3 linked regions of the Neurospora crassa OR74A genome follow. The protein of the gene in region 1 binds, or shares a complex with, the protein of each later gene. Links are inferred from orthologs where the notes say so. Each region holds a gene or a part of one and is shown on either strand. Other genes may lie near its edges.

Region 1 (7,621 bases):
TCACTTTGTTGGCGAGAGATATCCTTTCTGCAACCGTAATTGCAATATTATTAGCGAAGCCTTTTCATTGATAAGTCCGAATTGCGCCGCCTTACGGGCCGTGTGGTACATACATTGATATGTGCTGGGCGTGTAAACAATTTAATTCATCGTGGACTGCGAAAACGAGGAAATGGAGGAGTACTAATGCATCACTAAACTCCGCCACGCCATGAGTCACGAAGAAATAGGGTACGATAGATAATATTATCATTGAGAAGCTCAAGGGGATCGATTAGGGTAGGTCAGGTTCCACAACATTCCTTTGAGGTTCTTCCACTTAGTCTCGCGGTTCTAAAGGGTATTACGTAGGGTATCATCAGCTCATGAACGCCGTTCCCTCTAAGCCCGCCTATGAATGCCGTTGAATCCACGCCTTCTATGCCGAGCTCCGAATTCGTTGAAGACAATTCCAAGCAAGAACGTGGAAGCCTTAGCCAAACGAAAAGCCACTAAGCGAGTAATTCTAAGAGTAATAGTCGCCAGCAAATAACTTGGATCAATCAATCCGAATCCTACGTCCACCCTGAGCCACCGGCCCAATCTCTCCAAGCCTCGACATCACAACACTCGGCTCTCGTTCCGTTGATGCCATGCTAGCCAATGCAAAAGAATCAGTGTTGTGTGCAAAGTAAAAGTAGTACCCCGTCCGATCTTTCTTGACAGTCATGACTCCGATTGCACCCGCCGACGGTTGGTTCTTGACGCCCGGATGGCCCATGAAATCGTCCAGGATGAAGGCCTCTAGCAGCGCATGCTCATCTAGCTCCGATATGCTGTGTCCTCCAAAGCCGCGGCGGCTGCTTTCAAACAGACGCTCTGCACATTTTGCTGAGGCGATCGAGGTAGCCATGTGCTCACCTGTACCACTGGTGACGGCGGCTACCGATGTGCCTGTGTGGTCGTCAGAATCCTCAGGGATCACGGCCGTTCCGATTCCGACGAGAGCAGCAGGACCGATGCGACCGCGGTGCTTTATGCCGATGCCGCCGGAAGAGGAACCTGCGGCGATGCGCCCCTTTAGGTCTATGGCAATTGCGCCGACGGTGTCGGTTATCAGATCTTCGTCCTCCTTTTGCTTCGGTGCATTCGAAAACATCGGGTCGCTGATCTGGGCGGGCGAAAGTGAGTGTTCCTCCGATTGGTTCTCCATGGTGTTCAGACTCTGGTTGTGGTCTTCCTTTACGCTCACAAACCCATCATGAGTTGACAATGACGGAGATCGTCTCGGGGTTTCCCCAGTAGCCGGGAAATAGCCAATATCTTCACTGTGACTGTGACGTACCACTGCCCTCTTCATGGCGGCTGGGCTTCCAGTACTGGCGCGTGACTGAAAAGCACCTGACACGTAATTCATGGCAGCTCGATCGACTGGCTTGCTTCCGTTGGTGAGACTTCTCTGAGGTGGGCGAGGTATGGCTGAAGGGACACTTCCAAGTGATCCATTTTCACCCAGTAAAGGGGACCCTCTACCATATGGTGAGTCGGGTTGGCCTTCGTTCCATATCCCAGTCAAAATCGCACTCGAGTGGTCCCGTCGCAAAGTCGACGCGTTTAGCGTTTCCGCCGCTTTTTCGTAGTCACTCGGTGTCGGCGACGGGCGATGTGTCTCTAGGTTTCTCAGAGACACTTGTGAGATGTGAGAGGAGTTACTACTTTGAGTAATCTGTCTTGCTTCCGCCTTTTTCAAGTCCTCTTTCCAGCGGAGAAAACGATCCTTTGCGTTCTTGGAAATGAGGTATTCGTTTGGTACGGTAGCCATCCCGTGTTCTTCGGCAAAGTCCCTAGCTCCGAGGCCCACGAGAATATTCGGCGGTACTCTTCGGAGGGAAAGAGGCTGACTACTTTTGTCCAGAATTAACTTGGCAAGCGAGATGGGGTTTTTGATGCCTGCATATGTCAACGAGTGTCAGCATGTCGTTTCTGGCCGCTCATATGTGGCACTGTCGGTTTGGGCGTACCCGAAACAGCGCCACAAGCACCACTCCTCCCCAGATGGTCGACTACAGTTGCGTCACATTCGACAACTCCATCCATGTTGAGATTACTTCCGAAGCCGGCATTCGTAATCTCTTTGTCCTCCAAACACCTGATAGCAGCTTCGACAGCCTCGGGGGCAGAAGCACCGGCTTTCAGAAACCTCATGGCGACACGGGAGGCTCTAGTTACAACCGCATCAGCAAGGGATCACCTGATGACTCTTGACTCAACTTACTCGCTGCATGCTTCCAAGTGAACCTTTTCATTCGTAATGCTATGGTACCCTGCACCTGCGTGGACAAAGATTGCCGCAACTGGCTTCGTCGTACGCTTCCATATCCTTTCGACACCACCGTCCAATCCGTATTCATGATCACCAGACCAGTTTGACTCTGAGGAGCTGTCCGACATGTCCATATCTGATTCAGGTGACCCATGGCCGGGCTCGGCATTTTTGCTGCTCATCGTGGGCGCAGCTGTGATAGAACGACTCGAGGAGATAGTCGAAGCAGCGTGTGATCTGGCGAGGTCGAGTTGTCTGGTAATCGAGCATGTGTCTTTCAAGCGAGTCTGTATTCTGAGGGCACATAGAGTCCTTAGTTTTGGTGTGTCATGGGTGACTTTTGTGCCTTGGGACAAAGATGGGCGAAAAGACTTATCGAGGCAAGGGCGAAGAGTTGGAGAAGATCGGAACGGGTGGATGAGATGAAAAGGGTGGTCGGACTTGGTGTCCCTCGTAAAAGCAACCTGCTAAAACAATGAATGGGAATAATGCTCGGTAGTGATAATGTCTTGAGGGGTATTTGAGATTGGAGCGATGCCCAATGAGCTAGATGATGCACTCAGGGTGGCCCGAGGGGTGAAGAGTCCCTTTGGATACAGTAGGTGGGCGGGATGAAGATGTGTGAAGGCAAAGGTGGCAAAATACAGAATACGACAGAGAGAGAGAGACGGAGAGAGAGACGAAACGGAATGTGGACACTGGACAGGTTGATGATTCGTTGTGATAAGTGAGAAGCTGTGAGTGTGTGTAGCTTCTCCGCAAAGTGGACTTGCTTCGAGAGGATGAAGCTGAAATGAATCCGACAGAAATGGCAGGTGTGAGGGAATCTGGCTGGAGGTGATTTTCCATTCAGTATCTCCTTCCTTCTTAGAAGGACACATCCTGTCTGGCTGGCCTTGTCGCTACAGTTTTGATACCGATCGGCCCCACTTTTTCCTAGCCATCATCGTCCGGGCCCGGGCCGTGTGCTTCAAACTCCGATGCTTGGGACCGGGGCATCGGTTAGGTTTCGGGGGGCTCGGATGGCGCGCAGGTGGCAGCGAGGTGTTTGGTTCCGTCATCTCCAGTTATGGCGTAGGTCCCGTCGCTGGAAATGCACAACTGACTAAATGGACCGCCGTACCATACGGGGACCTCGCGGTCTTGGCGCACAGCCGCACAGGTACCTCCACAGTACCACGCAGCGCTGTCAGCCAGACGAGTAAGGAGAGCTAGCTCGGCCAGGCACGTACAATCTTGGACATCAACCTCCATTTCCCGCCTGGCCTATCCACTACCCATCCACGCTCCCGCCCCGTCACTTCATCCATCACCAACTAACAACAGCCGTTGCTTTACCAAACCGCAATCATCACGAGCTGCGCGTAGCAGCACACCACCGCAACAATGGCCAACACAACCCCCGCCGTTGTCATGGACAAGTACGTGCATCCAAGTGTCCCGTCTCCACCCCGCCCGCTCCTTAACAGCTCCGGGGCCGTCATCGCTAACATCCCCTAACCAGCGGCACGGGGTTCTCCAAGCTAGGTTCGCGACTCCGACACCCCAAGATATCCAATGACCACCGATTGACCAAGCTCTTCGTCGTCTGCAGGTTTCGCCGGCAATGATTCCCCCTCGTTCGTATTCCCGACGGCCATCGCGACCAAAAGCCCCTCGGCAGGCACCGGCGGCTCGGGCTCTGGCCGCCCCGCCGTAGCCAACAAGCCATCCTTCCTCACCGGCGGCGCGGGTCCAGGTGGCCATCTCTCAGCAAAGCGCGGAACCGAAGACCTCGACTACTTTATCGGCGACGAGGCCGTAGCGGCCGCCAATGGACCTGGTACGTTGGTCTACACCGCCTCAACGGAAATGGGTGCTGACGGTGTTAGGCTACGGGTTGCACTATCCCATCAGACACGGACAGATCGAGAACTGGGTGCGTTCAGGCTGCTAGATGGCATGTCACAAATGCCTAGAGCTAACTGGAGCTTAGGATCACATGGAAAGGTTCTGGTCCAACTCCATCTTCAAGTATCTGAGAGTAGAGCCTGAGGACCACCACTTCCTCCTCACTGAGCCCGTAAGACTACACTTTCCAAGCCACATCAGTACTACGTCTGCAGCACTGACACGTCGATTCAGCCTCTCAACCCTCCCGAGAACCGCGAAAACACCGCCGAGATCTTCTTCGAATCCTTCAACTGCGCCGGTCTCTACATTGCCGTCCAGGCCGTTCTGGCCCTTGCGGCTTCCTGGACATCATCCAAGGTCCAGGACAGATCCTTGACCGGTACTGTCATTGATTCGGGTGATGGTGTGACACACGTTATCCCGGTCGCCGAAGGTTACGTTATCGGCTCGTCCATCAAGTCGATCCCTATTGCCGGTCGCGATATCACCTACTTTGTCCAGTCGCTTCTCCGTGACCGCGGCGAGCCCGATTCGTCCCTCAAGACGGCCCAGGAGATCAAGGAGGAGTACTGCTACGTCTGTCCGGATATTGTCAAGGAGTTTGCCAAGTACGACCGCGATCGCAGCCGATTCCTGAAGCACACCATTACCCAGCCCGGTGGCCGCCAAGTTACGGTTGATGTTGGCTACGAGCGTTTCATGGCGCCCGAAATCTTCTTCAACCCCGAGATTTACTCGTCCGATTTCCTTACGCCCCTGCCCGTGGTTGTTGATGGTGTCATTCAGTCTTCGCCCATCGATGTCCGTCGTGGTCTCTACAAGAACATTGTTCTTTCGGGTGGCAGCACGCTCTACAAGGACTTTGGTCGCAGGCTACAGCGCGATATCAAGCAGCTTGTCGATACGCGAATCAAGGCCAGCGAGGTGCGCAGCGGTGGAGCAAAGAGCGGTGGTCTTGATGTCCAGGTTATCACCCACAAAAGGCAACGGCACGGCCCGTGGTTTGGTGGTAGCTTGCTCGGTCAGACGCCCGAGTTCCGGTCGTACTGCCACACCAAGGCAGAGGTATGTTTCTTTACCCTTTTACCATTGGCAGTCTGGTTGCTGACGGATCTTTACAGTACCAAGAATATGGACCCAGCATCGTGCGCAGGTTCGCTCTGCTCGGAGGACCTGGTGGATCTTAAGCGTAGTTATTTGTGTACAGGAGCGAGTCCGCATCTTATTTGGCAGGCAGCGGGCGCCGATGCTTATATAATGGCGATGAATAGAAAAGAGGAACTACTTAATGCTAGTGAAGTTGGGTCAGCGTAGACGGCCAATGTGTCTGTTGTTGTGTTGATGTTTAGGAATCCGTTGCGCAGAGCAACGGTCCCCTTAAAAGGGGGGCTTAATGGTACCGATCGGCTGGTTCCGGAGGCGGCGTGCCAAGCCATTGACGGCATTCACTGTAACTCTCGGTAAGCAAGGATGTGTCAGCACCACGACCACCGGTTCGCGCCGGGTGGCCTGATATGGCCCGACAGTTCTGGAACTGGCCGAACTCCCATCGGGCAAGCTAACCGATAGCTTCGCATCAGTTTCACAACTTGCTGATTTTTCTCTTCATTTTTTCAATGTTGTTCCTATTCTCAGCCCATTGATTAGATTCTAATCAGGACTGGGCTCGATTGTCATGTTGAAAGATGTTGCCTGACATGCTCGGACGTCACCTCACAGTAAACCGACCGTGTTCCCAGAGAGCATTCACAGTTTGGAGGGTTCAGTGATCAGATTGCTTACTTTGCGCCGGGCAAGGAGCAAAAGGTTATGCAACTTTCTGCATGCCTTCATAGAGGTCGGTACCATAGGTATGGGTAGGTAGGGTAGGTAGTACGACAAGAATGCGGGGAAGAAGCTTCGTCGCTGAAACCAGGGGTTCCAGACCGTCCTTTGGTGGCTTACAAGCCAAGCCTCCTCGTCACCTGCACCGGCTAAGTTTGCTGTTTTGAGGCTTCTTCGCTCGAGCGGAAGTTGACTTTTATTTTTTCCTTTTGTTTTCCTTCGTGTTTGCTGGAAACGATAATTGATCCATACTATTTCCATCAGCCTCCGTTTCAGCTTTACCACCAACCCAACCAGCGTTGACAAAGGCGCGGGGAAAGGGTGAGCCACGACGTCCACGAGATCTTCGACGAGGAGGTGGAGGAGGAGGAGAAGGAGGAGGAGTGGTTGGCACAGGTTTCAATGTGTAGCGTATGTAGTGGTGGGTTCGAGACAGTGGCTTCCACTTCGGTGGAGCGGAAAGTCGTTTATGTATAGGTACGCAGTACACTACACCACACTAGAAAGTGTGGGGGTGGAACATGACGGCGGGGTCTCGGATCGGACCCGCGCGCTGTCAACGACTTTAGTTAGTTTAGGCAAACACCGTATCCAAGACTGTACTCGGATCCAAGGTGCCGACCACCGGGTGTTTGGTTCTGCGACAAACAGTGAGGTTGATGAGAAAGTTCCCACAAAAATAAGCAGGGACGGTGAGATTTCGGCCGCTCCATAATGACTGGCAAAAGCGTCTCATAAACCACGAGATGGGACCAGAACCTCAGGTGCTTCACGGCATTGTTGACATGATGAGCGGGAAAAGGGCCGTTTCCATGTGGCGCCTCACGAGAACAACCTAACGATGGTCCGGGCGACACTAGCCGGGCTCCGCTGAGGCTGGATAGGGCGGGCTGTCCCCCAACGGGCACCCCCGCTGTCATCACTCGACTCAGCGCTCCCGCCAGTTCCACACTCACTGAAGCTAACATAGGTCTCATCCCAGCCTCCATCTCTTCAGTTACATCACTCGTGCCCAAGTTGGGACGATCGCGCTCGACATGCGCCAAGAGCCCACGATTTCCCCCAGTCCTCCTTTTAGCTTTCTCCTCTTTTGCACATCAACACCGGGGGACCTTCACTATGCTAATAGCTTAGTGCATGATCAGCTTCATCTAACAAGAGCTCGTGACCTTGTTTGCTTCCAACTGTTGGCGTCCGAGTGCCAGCTCCCCCGCATTTTGTATGTACAGTTGACAGAAGCGGAGATCTCCCCTCTTGGCTTCTCAATTTCTCTCTAAACCTTCGGAAACCTTGAACCGGCCGATGCAGCAACTCCATTGAAGCTTCCCTTGGATCAATCAAGCTGCTGACGGGGACTGGATGGGGGGGCTTGAGAGGGGTATCCACCGGGCTGATGGAAAAGGGCAGACAATGGGCGATTGGCCAGTGGGAGCTCCCCGTACCGTCACATCCTCTACGTCCCGCCTCGCCCATCGACATCATACGTTTTCTCTCGTCCATCTACACACACCAAGACTCTAACCCTCCAGTTGAGGGTCTCGGCCCCTGCCTCGCCAGACGTCCGACTTGTCTTCCCACCGAGCCACCACTAGCCTCGCCGGG
Region 2 (7,243 bases), on another chromosome or scaffold:
AGTTCCAGTCATGATCCGGTTCGGAGTAGTAGTAGTAGTGAACAGCACACGATGAGGTGTCGGGACCCGAGTCAAAGGGCTGATACTTCGCAAAGAAAGGGAATTGTCGTCATGACCGGAGGATTCATAGCCACTGTTGTTGCGTGGAAGGGAATCGAAGGAATCAAACATGGGAATCTGAGCCAAAACGGCGGATGGTGGAGGTGAGAGGCTTGGTTCTTGCTTTATTTCTGTGTCTGTTTTTGTTTCTGCTGGACATGGACCTGGACGAAGGATGTATCCTGAATGGGAGGAGGAGGTCTTGAATCTCTTTGGGGAGCGAGAATGGGGAGAGATGGGGGCGTCGGAAACTTTTTCGTCTTCGGTTTCGTCGTTTCGGTCTCTGTTGCTGCTTCGATTCTGAATTCCAGGAGGAGTCCGTCGAAGATGAACATCACCATGTTGTTCTTCCATGGTTTCCCAGGCACGTACCCTCCTTGCCTTAGCCTTAGCCCTCGAAGCAGAAGACGGTCCATCCCACCTGATGGGTTTGAACAGGCCCATCTTTGGCGTTATTGTTGGTTCCATTCCCATTCCCATCGCCGTACCCATCATCCCTGCCACCATTTCCACACCGGCATTGGCACCAACGCTAGACACCACCGACGGCACCATCATAACCCTCTCCATTACCACCCCTTCCCCCCTTTCCTCCCAAGTCTTACTACCACTGACCCCACTCTCCTCCGTCCCTAGGGGCACGTATCCCACCACACCTCCCACCACACCTCCCACCGCATCTTCTTCCACCTGCTTCATCTGTTCTCCCTGTTCTCCCTGTGGCACCCGCGGCACCCACCTCTTCACCCTCTGCTCTAACGGTATCGACACCCAAGGAACCGACTCCTCCTCCTCCTCCTCCCGCTTAATCACCACCACTGTCTCCTCACCGGAACTGAACCCGCTCATCCTCCTCCTACCACTTCTTCCTCCTTCCCTACTGAGGGGCAGTGACAGTGGAGAAGGTACCGATTTACTTGGTCCCGGCCCCATGGTCATCATCGTTGATTGCCGCTGGCGTCGATGCTCCTCGAAACCTGGTGCTGGTCGTGGTAGACTTGGTTCCAGTACCCCAGGTAAGTAATTCGAAAATGATTGCTCAACAGACCTAGACCCCACTGTCCGAGGTGGATAGGCGAGTACTGGCTCGTTGGAGAATAAAGATCGAGAAGAGCGGGAAGGATGCCGATGATGATGATGATGAAGGATGCTAGCGGCGGTGGTGGTGTTGACAGAGGAGTTGGCGTTGTAAATAAAGTCGCTTGGTGATGCGGGAGCGTAGTGGTGGTAGTCTTTTTGTTCCTCTGGTTCTGGATGACCAGGAGGAGGAGGAGGAGGAGGAGGAACATGAACAGGAGATACGGGGTTAAAGTACAGAGGGTGTTGGGGGTGGTTGAATGGGTAGTAGTCGTAGGAACTGTTGTGGTCCATGGTTCAGTTTGTTGTTGTTTGGTTCTTCTGATCCCGCTGTTTCTTCTTCTAACCAGACAACGAAGTAGGCAGGCAGGGAAGATGGAGGCAAAGCGAGGTAAGTTGAGTTTGTTTGGATAGCTGAAAGGGACGGAGTGACGGACGGCTGATTACTTATGGTAAACTGCTTTTGAAGCTGAAGGTCTGGATGAGGAGCGAAAGGATATGGAATAAATAATCGACAGGGACAAAACAATGGTAGGTATGGACATGAATTGTGACATGCACTTCTCCTGCTGCCGGTTATTAGTTCTCTTATGATCCTTTTATGGAAGTTATCACGGCAAATCGGAATGTGTCCGGCAAGCCACAAGCGGAAGTCAATGAATTGCTTTGTATGTATTGAACCTGTATTTGTTCTTGACTGTGTGTCTGATTCACACATACATATCTTGCAAAATTGGCCGGGCGGTCATGACAAACGGATAGCTCACTGTGGAGAAGTGACATGATAAGTCTCTGTACAATGGGTGAATGGACAATCAATCACTTTGGCGGATACCGGGAAGCACGGATAGGGCAGAAATCAAAGACCGGGAAAGTTACCCGCTAAACTGACATTGATGGATCTTGACTTTGAATCTGATTCATTATCAGCCATTCACTCTTGTTCCATTAACATTAGATGTTACGCTTGCTTGCTTGGCTTTTCTGCTTCCCAATGTGTGCAGCAACCCTCTTTCATCGAGGGGAAATCTAGGTGTGCCAGATGACGACTCTGCCGTCAACACCGCTCGCTGTTGTGTCAAGTTAGCATCAATAATTCTTGAAACCACAGGTCATGTAAAAATGGGGAACACTCACAACTAAACTTGGTCACCCGTCCACCACTCTCCTCAAAGGGCCTCAACATAGTAACCGTATTCTGATGCACCGTCTTCAACATGGTATCATCCTTGCTGACCTTACCCTTCAGGTCCATCTGCTTGAACATGTTCAGCGCAGACTCCTCTCTGTCCTCGTCACCAAGACCCGGTCTTCCTCCGGCCTTGGCCTTCTCCAGCGTGCCGGCCAGCTGCCACCCCTGCTCGCCGCCTTGGAAGCGGAAAGCCTCGCAATCGTAACCCGCAGCAATGATCTCAGTCTCTCCGTTCCAGAAGAGGCTCATAAAGGGCAAAAGCTGCGTGTTGATGCTGATCACCGCCTTGGGCGGCTGCTCGGGCGCAGAGGGGTAGACGACGGTGATGGAGGAGTCATGCGCCGCAAACGCCAGAGCGTCGCCGCTCGGGCTGAAGGCAACAGAATGCACCCATCCGGCAGAGTTGTTCAGGAACTCGCCGCAGACCGTGTTGAAAGGCAATCTCTCGCCCCAGGGGCTCGGCTCGGGGCGCTGGTCGGTGCCCTTGATGAAGGCGGAAAAGACGCGGGCGTGGGCGTCGGTGGAGCCGGCAGCAAGAAGAACGCTGTTGGGGTGCCAGGCGACAGAGGTGATGGTGGATCGGATCGGCTTCTTCAGGTGCTTGGATACCCACCAGTCGTTTTCCTCCTCAAAGTAGCAGATGGCGATGACGCGGTCGCCGGAGCCGACGGCGAACTTGGCTTCCGAGGGAGACCAGCGGACGAAGGTGGCGGCGCGGGAAATACGGAGGAGCACGAGGGTGGGCTTGTAGCCGGTGGGGGAGGGTTCCCAGACGAGGGCGTTGCGGTCTGTGAGTTGGGGTTGGTTGTTAGTCTAGCTGACTGTGATGGTGGCATTATGGGGTGCCTGGGTTGCGAAAGGGGGGGCCTACCCTGAGAGCAGGTCACAATACGCCCGGTGTTGGGAGCAATGTCGACGCTGGTGACAAGCTTGTCATGGCCCTTGAGCTCATCCTTGAGCTTGAAGGCATTGCCGACTCTGCCGTAGAGCTCGACCTGGGTGTCGCGGGCAATGGCCAAGGTCTGGCGATCGGCCGAGAAGGAGTGGTCGGCGATGGGGTGGTGGAAGAGATGGTGGACCTCGGGAGCAGCCATTGTGGGTTGTTAGGTTGGTGTTGTGTAGAAATAAGGTATGCGATAGGAGTATAGCTCTCTACTACCGCGCTCGGAATCGGGGACGGTGATGACGGAGAGTGTGATCGAATGTCTTGGTTCGGTGGTGTCGGAGCCGGATGTTGTAATTGGAAAGGGGAAGCTGTGCCCGGGAACGGGAAGCGGGAGAGCTCCGTAACTACAGCGGGCTGGACGCCTGAAATGAGGTCAGACCGCCAGGCTCCAGGGGCACCGTTGCGGCAGCGTATGGTGGTGGGGTTGGCTGCGGGTGGGTGACGCCGCCAAGAGTGCCCTGCTGCCGGCCGGGGCTGACCCACCTGGAACTGGAACCTACTATGGTGAGATGGGTAAGTTAAACCCGTGGATCAGGTCGTCGACCACACAGTGCTCACGAAGCTCTGGCTGTGGTGGTCCGTGCAAGATACCTGACAAGGGGGTTTTACTTTTGCTCGCAACCGCAGTACCTCCAACAAGCTGCACCCACGCCCGTGGGGTTTGTGTACCGATTTCGATGGTTCGTAGGCTGGCTGGCCACTGTCTCCAATTTTTGGACCAGCATCTGAATTGTCGACATCGCATGCGCCGCCGCGACTTGAATTCATGATTGAACACTGAACATCATACACCCGAGCGACGACGACGACGACGACGAGACAATTGACGATATTAACCCCTACCACGAGGCGCCTACGATATACTGAAAATCTACGCGACAATTAACAACCTGCATTGGACAAACAACAACAGCATCAACTCCCGGATTCCTACGCGGCAATGGCTACGCGTATTGCTCCCCCCGCGGGCCTCCCCCAAAAGGTGGTCTCGAACCCGCCAAACCAGACTCTCTACGTCACGAACCTCCCCTCAGCTAAGATCCAGAAGGACGACCTCCGTACAGCACTATACATGCTCTTCTCCACCTACGGCCCCGTCCTCGATGTCGTCGCTCTCAAGACCATGAAGATGCGCGGGCAAGCACACATTGTCTACCGGGACATTCAGACAGCAACACAGGCCATGAGGTCACTTGACGGCATGGAGTTTTTGGGCCGCAAAATGGTAGGTCTTCTCGGGTTGAATATTTCAGCGGTAGCCCTTCACATGCTAACTTGGGTTTGCCTAGAAAATCACCTACGCCAAGGGCCGCTCCAACATCATCGCCAAACTCGACGGTACTCTCGTGCCACCCAAGGCCGCCGCCGCCGTGGCCCTCACCACCGTCCAACAGAGTATCTTTAGTGCCCCAGTACCAGGCGCCCCTACTACGAATACCGAGAGTCCAGCACCACAAGGTTCGCCAGCCAAGCCTCCCGGGACGGAGACAACCACACCGGCAGAGGAGAACCGGGGAACGAAGCGGCCACGGGAGGAGGAGGAAGAAGAGGAGGAGAGCGATTCGGACGTTGCTATGGAGGAAGACAGCGACGAGGACTGATGGGTGTCCACTATGGCATTTGCTTCTTGTTTAAGATACCAGCTCGCGGTGGGGAAGGATGACGAAAAATGAAGGCGCAATGAAGCGGATGGATGAAAAATTCGCCCTCTCGAAGGACAATGCAGAAGACGCACCGCTAGCTGCATGTACAACATACACCGCGCTACTCCCACTTCCTCTAGGCGGAGGAAGGCTCCAAGGCCATTTCCTTGGGGACCCAAAGGCTGACACAGCCGCCGACGAGTCCAAGCCAAACCATCAGGTAGTTCTCGATCGAGACATTGTCAAAGGTCGACATGGCCTCGCCGAGGAGACAAGGGTGGACGAAGAAGGTGGGAAGGCCTGTGATGGGATGATACTGTTTGTATGGCCGAAATAATTCAAAAGAAGGGACATTCGTGTGTTAGTATAGGCACCTTTTTTTTTTCTCTTTCTCTCTCTTTTTGTCCTTCTCATATCTTTATGTTTCACAACAAAGTCACAAAGAGCGAGAAAAAGGAGTTCAGCCCTAGTTAACTTTTTGGTGTTTCAACAGCGAGAAGATTGAACCCACCCAAATCGCAAGACACAAATACAAAGAACGAGATGAGATGAGAAGAGAAGAGAAGAGAAAACTTACATCAGCTGAGATACCACCCACGGAACCCGCGCGGCGAAGTCCATCTTTGAACTGATCGGGTACAAGACGTCGAAAGACGGTGTCGATGTTGAAGGCTGGTTCATCCGCCGGCAGTCCGTTTAGTGAAAACCACAGACAAGGCGCTTGATATGTCGGGTGAAGGTGTATTTCGTATGTGACGTAGCCATAACTTGTCTTTTGCTGTTGTTGATGTTTAGAAGGCAAAACCATGGCCTTTTCTCCCCCAGTAAACCACATATTATCAGCATTCCACACCCACCCCCCCTTCAACCCACTGTTTTTATTAAGAAAACATACCTCATCATCATCATCATCCTCAACCTCCATCCCCTCACTCACACCAACCACACCCTCCCCCTCCCGCTCATCCCCCCTTACCGCTGCTGGCCCCTCAGAAAAACACAAATTATCCAAAAACTCGGATAAGCCATCATCATCCAGATTGACCTCGAGCGGTCTCGTGATTTGGATAAAAGTGCTGTATTCGGGATCCGAAGGAGAGACAAAGTGGGTGTTGAGCGCCGAGCGCACGCGCAGCTTCCATTGGCGCCGGAGCGGGCCGAGGGTCGCTTGGCTGTAGCGCCGGTCGAGGTGGTGGGCGGCCTCGGCGAACTCGGAGGGGGTGAGGTGGGGGTAGTTTTGGATTTCCAGGGAGTACATTTTGATCAAGAGTGTTTTCGGTAATGGTGAGGTGTGTGGTTGTGATATGGTGAGACGGTGGGCGGTCTGCTGAGTGGTGCAGTGGTGAAGGATGGGATGGGGGAGAAATTGGGACATACATATCGATGTTACCGCATGTGGAACTGGATTGTCACGGCCGGGCGGGACGGTGTTAGTGAGCGGGACGAGACGGACGGGAGAGGGTGATAAGATAAGGAAGGGGTCGTAACTCAAAGTTAGAGGTATTGTGGTTGTTCACATGTTCTTCATTTATGATCATATGCATGAAAAATATACCCTCCATGCATTCCACAATACCTCAATACATAAACGCCAACCATTACCTAGAGATGGAAGTTTGCGAGACCGCCGGGAGTAATTAATGACAGACCCAACCCTGACAGATCACCACACTCGTAACCCTGGCGAATCTGGCCCCCTGTAAGACTTGTACAAACAGCGGGGCCCCACAACTGTCGCAAGGGAACTTGACGCGTCCAAGCTCAAGCTGTCCTTTTTGGCGTCGTGTACTTGTACTGTGTACTGCGTAGTTAGTGTAAGAGGTCAGCAAGGTTCTTGGTTTCTTGCATGATTCTCGTTATCTCGGGGCTAATATGAAAGCAATCACCACAACTTCTGCATCCGGCTGGTGTACGTACATCTGACCGTTGGCAGGTTATAAATATACAACCCCTATGTAGGTAGGTAGGTACACATGTGCAAACACATGTCAGGCACTTCCAGAAGTGGAAGTAAGAGCGGCCGGATGTGATGGAACGAAGGGATGGAAGCACAGCTCCATGCCAGGTCCACGCCGCAGTTCTCCTTCCTTGTGCAGCTTGACCGCTCAAATTTGGGAAATACAAAGTTGGGGGGAAATCCAAGAAGGGCCTTTAATTTGAGAGACGGCTGCTCCCTTTTGCGTGTGAATACCTACCTTCCATCTATTCCATGGAATTTATACAATTGCCAGCTCTTGCTTAATCCATACCTCTACCTACCTATCTTTACGTACTTACCTAATGACC
Region 3 (7,162 bases), on another chromosome or scaffold:
GACTCGAGAGTCACATGAGTCAATGATGTGATGGTGGTGTAGCAATCAGTCAGCACAACGGATAAGTCGAGAAGCGTTGATGAGGGCACAGGTGGACGCAATGGTTCAGTTCGTAGGAAGAGTCAGGGAAGAAGCAGACGACGAGACTCGGATGGTGTTGAAGTCAATTGAAGGATTTCGTGGAAAAGGACGAAGTCTCGTCTGGGGTATGACCTAATCTAGAGGTACTGCCCTCTCCTGTGCCTGTGGGCAGTCATACGCACCTTCCCATCGACAGTTGATGACAAATTCGGCAAGGACAGCCACAGATGTCGACGCAGACGGAGAGTTGGAATTGTGTGATTGTTTACTGTGCAGTGTAGATGGTTGATGCTTCAGCGGTAATTGTTAGTGCATAACCCCCCCTGAGCAGTGAGGTTCAAAGTGGGTCCCACCCCCCAATCCATCAAGGTCCCTGGGCCTGAGCGTGGAGTCGTCTCGGTCGAGACCCATTCACGCCTCCAACGGACCCGCAGGACCCGCAACGCGCTAAGCTCTGGACTTTTCTCGCCGATTTTTTTTTTTTTCTCGGCGGCAATTGAAATTCCTCTTCGGGAATCGGAATTCCACTTTTGCAATCTTGAACCCAGCAACGAACAGGATTGCGAACCAGGCAATTCAAGATGCACCATTCAGTAATTAAGCCCAACAGCTGGGTAGCCCTCAAGCTGCCCTCCGGTGTTACCAGAGTTATCCAGGTCACTCCTAATACGTACGTCAACCGAGAACAATGGCGGCTTCAAAGTAAACAAAACATGGTGAGATGCTGATATGCCTTCATCGCACCACCAGATCGATCTCCCTTGGAAAATACGGCACCTTCCCCGCCAACCTAATCCTCGAACGCCCATACTACCTTACCTTTGAGGTCCAAGACAAGCTTCCCGAAGAAAGCTTTTCCCGCCTCCGAGTCGTCCCCCCTTCCGAACTTTACGCCGATGTCTTCGCCGAAGAGGACGCCGAATGCGCCAACCCCGCTGCCGGTCCTGGTTCGAACAATGACGCCGTCATTGCCACCGCCGCTGGCGAAGAATTCAGCTTAGTCGATGCCGAGAGCGGCAACGTCATTGCGCGGTCTACCCAAGAAGTTATCGACGAGAACGCCCGCCAGAAGCTGACACAAGCGGAAATCGAGGAGTTGAAGCGCGACGGGACCAACGCCGGCAAGGACGTCATCGCCAAACTTCTCTTGTCGCATGCTGCTCTCGACCAGAAGACTAGTTTCAGTTTGTCCAAGTACAAGCTGTTGAAGACGAAGAAGTACATCAGGAGGTTCCAGGTCCTGCCCATCGACGTTCCCACCTTTTCCAACTGGCAGCTGGAGGAGAGAGATGCTAGCAAGATCTTGGACATTCGCGCCGAGATGATGGGTTTGGTCGGTTGCTGGGGTAACGTTCACTATGGCGGTGCGGACGTCTTCCTGGAGGATCCCAAGGCGACAACAGAACAAGGAGAGGAGGCTCTTGCACCCTTGCAAGAGGACTTGCTGGCTGGAAGGTGGCTAGTTGTCGATGATACCGGTGGTCTATTAGTCGCAGCCATGGCCGAGCGCATGGGTGTTCTCTACAAGGAAGATGACGAGACCGAGGAAGCGGCGGAAGAGGAGGAAGCCACAGAAAAGGCCGAGGAAGAGACGGAACCAAAACAGGAATCTGACACGACCAGCCAAAAAGACACGGAAATGATTGACGGACAACAGCAAGCAGCAACATCAGAGACAACAACTCTTCCCCGACACCCCAAGCGCCCGCGTGACAACAAGCCGCGCGACTCCGATTTCGCCGTTCCCTTTTCGCAAACCAACACCATCACCGTCCTTCACGGCGCCAGCCAACCGAACCTTTCATTCCTCAACTACTGGAACTTCGATGTCACCGCCCCACAACACCCGCCGCACCCGCTACTGAACCACCTTCTCACGCTCAGCTGGCTGCAGCTCCTCAAGCCCGAACTCGACACCTCGTACTCGACCCCTCCCCTCACTGCCGATCCCGAGACCTTGAGCACCTGGAAGCCCAGCCGCCGCGGCAACTTCCACCGCAAGCGCAGACGCTACGCCCGCGTTCGCCACATTGTCGACAGCACGCGCGCCGGCAACTTCTCCGGCCTCGTCTGCGCCAGCACCATGGACCCGATCTCGATCCTCAAGCACGCCCTTCCCCTCTTGGCCGGCGGCGCCCCCGTGGCCATCTACTCCCCTTCTCTCGAGCCTCTCGCGACACTAGCCGATTGCTTCAGCGTTGCCAGGAGGACGGCGTGGAACAGCGGACACGTGGCGGAGATCCAGGGCAAGACGGCCGAAGAGCTGGAAAAGTGGGAGGGAAGCGAGCAGTTCCCTCTCAACCCCACGCTGTTACTGGGCACAAGCATCCAGACTAGCAGGGCGAGGAGGTGGCAGGTGTTGCCGGGCAGGACGCATCCGTTGATGACGGAGCGCGGTGGTGCGGATGGATATATCTTTACTGGATGGAGAGCGAAGCCAGCGGAGGGCAAGATTGCGGCCAAGGGCAAATTTAAGAGGAGAAAGGTGGAGGAGAGCGTTTCGACGCCGGCTTCGGCATGAGTGGATTGGTCGGAAAGAGTTATTTATGGGAGTTCAAGGATGCCACTTCTCTCCCCGTGCATCGGAAGATCTCACACAGAGGTTTCCACGGAAGCAATGAGGTCGAGGGAAAGTCAGAAAGGAAAAGACAGTTAGAGCGTTTCGAGGCTCGCTTACAGTAGGTGGACTCGACCAGCCGAGGAGGAGTGGAGGCGACCATGGGTTTAAATGATTATGCTTTGTCCATGAAAGGCGGGCAAACAATGAGCAGGAGTCTGATAGTGGTAGCAGTTAGGAGAACCAGCATGACCGATATGCATAGATCTCGTTTGCTCTTAGATACCATTTGCACGAAATAGAGCTGCAGTAATTCTACTAATCGAACGTCAACTGGAGATATAACCCATGTCGCTCATGATCGGGTTTCAAGTGTATGTGTACTCGATCTATGCCTGATCGAACCGGACCACGCAAAAACAACAACAACTGAAAGTCTTGCTCGCTCGCCCCAACACACCCTCACACTCTAGGAAACTTGAAATATTATTTGTGTAGAGTACGTATTATACTTTGGCGCTAAACGATTCCATGCAACGCCATCTGAACAGGGAAGGCATCGCATCAGAGTCCCTTGCCCATGAACTTCCTCTTGGTAAAGCTCAACCACCACTTGCTCGGCTTGTCCTCGGTCTCGTCGTCGTACACGCGCGCCAATAACCTCTGCGCCAGTTCCTGCCGGACCTGCGACAGGTACTGACGGAGGACTTCTGCGTCTTGACGGTCGCGGGGGGGTTCATACATCTGTTTTGCGTCAAACTTATTAGCTGCCATCCATTTTCTTGTTCACCGCCGCGGGCCACATCTACTCCCATCACATTCACCGTATTCTATCTCCGCCCTAAATCCTTTACGCCAAAAAAACTCACCTGATTCAAAGGCCACCCAGGATCGCCCGGCAACGCAAAGTTCACATCCAGCGCCGCATTGTTCACTTCCTTCGTCGCCTCCCTAACGCCATAGTGCGGCTTGATGCGGCCCAGACAGTCGCTGATGTACCAGATGCCGTAGACCAGCAGGCGGTCGGCGGGGCCCTGGATCTCAAAGTTGCGGAAAAAGGTGTTGGCGCGGAAGAGAGCTAGCGTCTCGTCCAGAATGTCGTATGACTCCGAGTCCGGGTCGGGCGACTCGTTGGCGGCGAGCGGAGGGTCCGGGAAGGGGAGAGGGTAGATCGGCCCGCGGATCTTGGTGCGAAGCGGGAAGAGAGGGAAGTTGCCGATTAGGCGGGGGGAGGGGTCGGCGTTGAAGACGGAGTTGTAGGCCTAGAGAGTGGCGTCGTTAGTTGAGAGATTGAGAATGGGAATTTGTGTGTGAGGTGAGGCGAGAGGCGAAGAAATGCGATTGGGCGCAAAGCGGTTCGTGGTGTTGTGGGTGGTGGTGATGCGATCATGGACGAAGCTTTGTCTGACGATTAAGGGGTAGCTGGCTGGCTGGCTGGTATAGCTTGGGGAAGCTATACGCATAGCGGCTGGGTGTTGGGAGCTTGCGAATGGGTGCGCTTACCGGCATTGTGACGGTTGGTGTCAAGCTCCCTCTATGAAGCTATTACCAGATTAAGCAAATGGTGTTCAAGTTGGAAGTTAGGTAAATCTGGGATGTCGTGTTGACTTGACCGCGTCCGGGTTCTATGGCGCAGCCTTGCGGGGTGATGGGGTCAATTGGACTTGGGCTGGCCTTCCTGGACCTGCAGCGTGCCAGCGATGGGCGATGGCGGCTTCTCCTGCGCTGACGTCGAGCTGGCGGTGACGACCGCTGCTTGCACCGTGCCGCTGTGACGGACTCTGTGACAGTAGAGCTGGACTTGGTCTGTGCGTTACCTTTCTATTTGAATTTGTGGCTCAGCAGTGGCTGTGTCCGGACTCCGGATGAGGCCTGGTACAGTCAATGAAGCACTCCCGGTTCCCATCACGTGTAGAGTTACCGGAGCCGGCCTCGTCATCGGACAGGCAGCAGCTCGCTTGACTCCGATAAAGTGGATCTTTGCGGCCTGAAGTGGAGCCACCTAGTCCCGGGGGAATCGGAAGGTCTTGCACAATGCATCATCTGAAGGAGGAGAGCGAATGTGAACAAGTCAAAATGCCACTCCATTGGTATACAGAGGAAGATTCAGTTACACAAAGACTCTTCACGTGTCATGTAGTCAGCCACCGCGTTCGACGTGAGCGCCCGCTTTCCATGCAACTTAAGCTGCTGTGTCTCGGAATCCAGACAAAGAGCAGGACTCCATGCTCAAGATGGTGTTCCAAGGATCCATCCCATCATTACTCATTATGGCGGAATTTTTCAAGGAAGAAGATTGACCGAGGTTCACGCCGTGGTCGAGTCCAACAACCTGGAAGAGAGCCAACACCTGAATGTTGGTTGGATAGGACGAAGTTCAACACCGTGAACGCCGCGCTGCGCCCACCGCTGCCTGTTTGAACAACAGGGGGGCCCGTCGTCAAGGAGAGAGGAGAAGACTCAGAAAGCAGAAACATTGAAGAAACAAGAGGGGATGCCAAGACAATAAGTCACGGGAGCTCGTGTGCTAGCGCGTCGTAGATGATGAAATCAGCCAGCAGTCCAGACTTGGCTGGCTGTTGTTGGCGCAATTGTTCATCCGACGCAAATCCGGCCGGGGACTGCCACACACCCGACAGGCACACCACCAGTCGAGAGCGCTACTACGCTGCTTAGAGGTACTGTGATAGTAGTGTACGCACCAACGCGGAATCAAAAGCGCCGTCGTGCGCCGTCCACTGAGAAAGGGTGATGGAGGGGTATTTGGGGTTCTCCAGTCCCATCACATCACTCACTGCGTCACGGTTCTCTCCTCTACCTACAACTGCCTTCTTCAATCGTTCATTAAAACCAGCCCTCCGCTTCTTCACGCCCAAAGACAAACACAAGAACCCGGACAAACCCCTCCCACTTTTTTGAACTAGGAGGCAAACTTTGATCCTAGTGCTTTTTCCCCCCTCTTTACGGTGACTCAGTCGTTACCAGCGCGACTTGTTTTGGATCGCTTTTCTCCATTCCTCAAACCAAAACAAAACATCATTCCAAGCACCATTCGTTTTCAGGTGAGTTGCTTGCATGTTTTACCGGCGCTGCGAATTTGGTGTGATTTCACCTGTGTTTTGTGCGTGGGGCTGACTTGGATCAACAGAAAAAGGGGACCCCAGAAAAAGGGAACGTGCACTGCAGTGGACGCGCGCATCACTCCCTCCACAAAACGCTCTGCCGATCCGCCCTAGCAGAGCTGTCGCATCCACTCACTGCACTGCGCTCCGCCCATTGAATAGGTCAACAAAAGAAGACGACCTACCTACCTACGGACCAGGAACACTCTCCCCCCTTCGAGATAGTTCCCGTCCACTTGCTTCTTTCATGACCGCATTTGAGTACGTCCAGTCCCGCTTCATTTTGCGACTTCGCTCTTTTTTCTTCTTTCATCATATCATCGCGGCAACACTTCTTATTTCTCAAGACGACCATTCGTTCTGGCAATAGCTGCATCGCGCCAACGTTACATCCACATTACAACAACCTGGAACTACATAGCTGACGCGCGCCTCCAATCCCGGCTTCTTTTGTCTTCAGGTCCCTCATTTCTGGCAGTGGCACCTTGTTTGGACAACTGCGCGCCATGATAGAGGTAGCCATGTCAGCCTCACGCGACATAGCCGGCCCATCGCCGGGCCCTACACAACAACCCCCGGCCTCAGCCTCCGAAATTCACAGCCCCGCCTTCAGCAGCCAAAGTACCGATGCATCGACGTCATCGCCGCCGCGCCGGAAACGGACCAACCCAAAGAAACGAAAGGTTCCCCGGGTATACCGCCCCGATGAAGGCTCTATATACGACATAATGCACGACAATTCTGGCAAATCGCTTTACGTTCTTCCCATTTGCTGGACAGATCTCCATGCCACGCTCCTTGGCGCATCGTTCACCGAAGGTGCCCCTATTGTCACGCCGGTACCGGAATCTATTCATGGGCAATGGCTCGATCCTTCGCTCCTTGCGCGCCAGCTCACCGACCAACTTCACACCCTTATCAGGAACGAACCGTCCATGACACGAGTATTTTGCAAAAACATGGCCATGAAGAACGCAATGGGCATCTTTTTCCCGGATAGGCTAGCAAACCCCAAGATGAACGCCGAGCTTGACATTTACTTTGGCCAGCGCGTCTTCCGGAAGGCGGTGCGCATCCCGTGCCTGTGGAAGACACCCATCGGCAGTTCATTCGCAACAATACCCACGGTCCCAAACGACTCCTTTTACGTACCCAACAGCCCGCAGGAGCCGCAGCCTGAAATACCCCAGCAGACACCCAACATGCCGATTCTAGCCTACTTCAACAAGTCGCAGCTAGCTTTAATACGACAAAACCTGTTTAGGATTATTCAGACGCCCTTCAACCCCAATGACGCTGTCGCCGGTCTACAAGCACTACGCTCGAAACATTTGATACCCGCCGACGTCGATCAGGATCCGTATCTTGTCGCGATGATGGTCTCCATGGCGCAATCGAATTT

Evidence for each region.
Region 2: arp-3 (region 1) and NCU02781 share a complex: the UniProt entries of both Saccharomyces cerevisiae proteins name them as parts of the arp2/3 complex. The link is inferred for Neurospora crassa OR74A from reciprocal best matches to the Saccharomyces cerevisiae genes ARP3 and ARC40.
Region 3: arp-3 (region 1) and NCU09572 share a complex: the UniProt entries of both Saccharomyces cerevisiae proteins name them as parts of the arp2/3 complex. The link is inferred for Neurospora crassa OR74A from reciprocal best matches to the Saccharomyces cerevisiae genes ARP3 and ARC18.

What each region holds. Positions count from the first base shown.
Region 1 is NC_026502.1:2,532,531-2,540,151, forward strand, and holds arp-3 (actin), read left to right. Parts: upstream 1-3,496; 5' UTR 3,497-3,688; coding exon 3,689-3,723; intron 3,724-3,806; coding exon 3,807-3,829; intron 3,830-3,896; coding exon 3,897-4,124; intron 4,125-4,173; coding exon 4,174-4,220; intron 4,221-4,277; coding exon 4,278-4,364; intron 4,365-4,426; coding exon 4,427-5,260; intron 5,261-5,316; coding exon 5,317-5,382; 3' UTR 5,383-5,544; downstream 5,545-7,621. Other genes in the region: NCU01757 (asparaginase), read right to left, coding at 539-1,929, 2,001-2,200, 2,255-2,484. UniProt on the Saccharomyces cerevisiae protein: Functions as ATP-binding component of the Arp2/3 complex which is involved in regulation of actin polymerization and together with an activating nucleation-promoting factor (NPF) mediates the formation of branched actin networks.
Region 2 is NC_026501.1:9,214,623-9,221,865, forward strand, and holds NCU02781 (hypothetical protein), read right to left. Parts: upstream 3,687-7,243; 5' UTR 3,463-3,686; coding exon 3,240-3,462; intron 3,157-3,239; coding exon 2,314-3,156; intron 2,247-2,313; coding exon 2,206-2,246; 3' UTR 1,915-2,205; downstream 1-1,914. Other genes in the region: NCU02782 (hypothetical protein), read right to left, coding at 1-1,470; NCU02780 (U2 small nuclear ribonucleoprotein B), read left to right, coding at 4,255-4,539, 4,604-4,915; NCU02779 (hypothetical protein), read right to left, coding at 5,094-5,273, 5,535-5,768, 5,853-6,215. UniProt on the Saccharomyces cerevisiae protein: Functions as a component of the Arp2/3 complex which is involved in regulation of actin polymerization and together with an activating nucleation-promoting factor (NPF) mediates the formation of branched actin networks.
Region 3 is NC_026507.1:961,753-968,914, reverse strand, and holds NCU09572 (ARP2/3 complex 21 kDa subunit), read right to left. Parts: upstream 4,402-7,162; 5' UTR 4,148-4,401; coding exon 4,142-4,147; intron 3,901-4,141; coding exon 3,508-3,900; intron 3,383-3,507; coding exon 3,203-3,382; 3' UTR 2,868-3,202; downstream 1-2,867. Other genes in the region: NCU09571 (tRNA (adenine-N(1)-)-methyltransferase non-catalytic subunit trm6), read left to right, coding at 663-751, 832-2,602; NCU09573 (hypothetical protein), read left to right, coding at 6,008-6,021, 6,221-7,162. UniProt on the Saccharomyces cerevisiae protein: Functions as a component of the Arp2/3 complex which is involved in regulation of actin polymerization and together with an activating nucleation-promoting factor (NPF) mediates the formation of branched actin networks.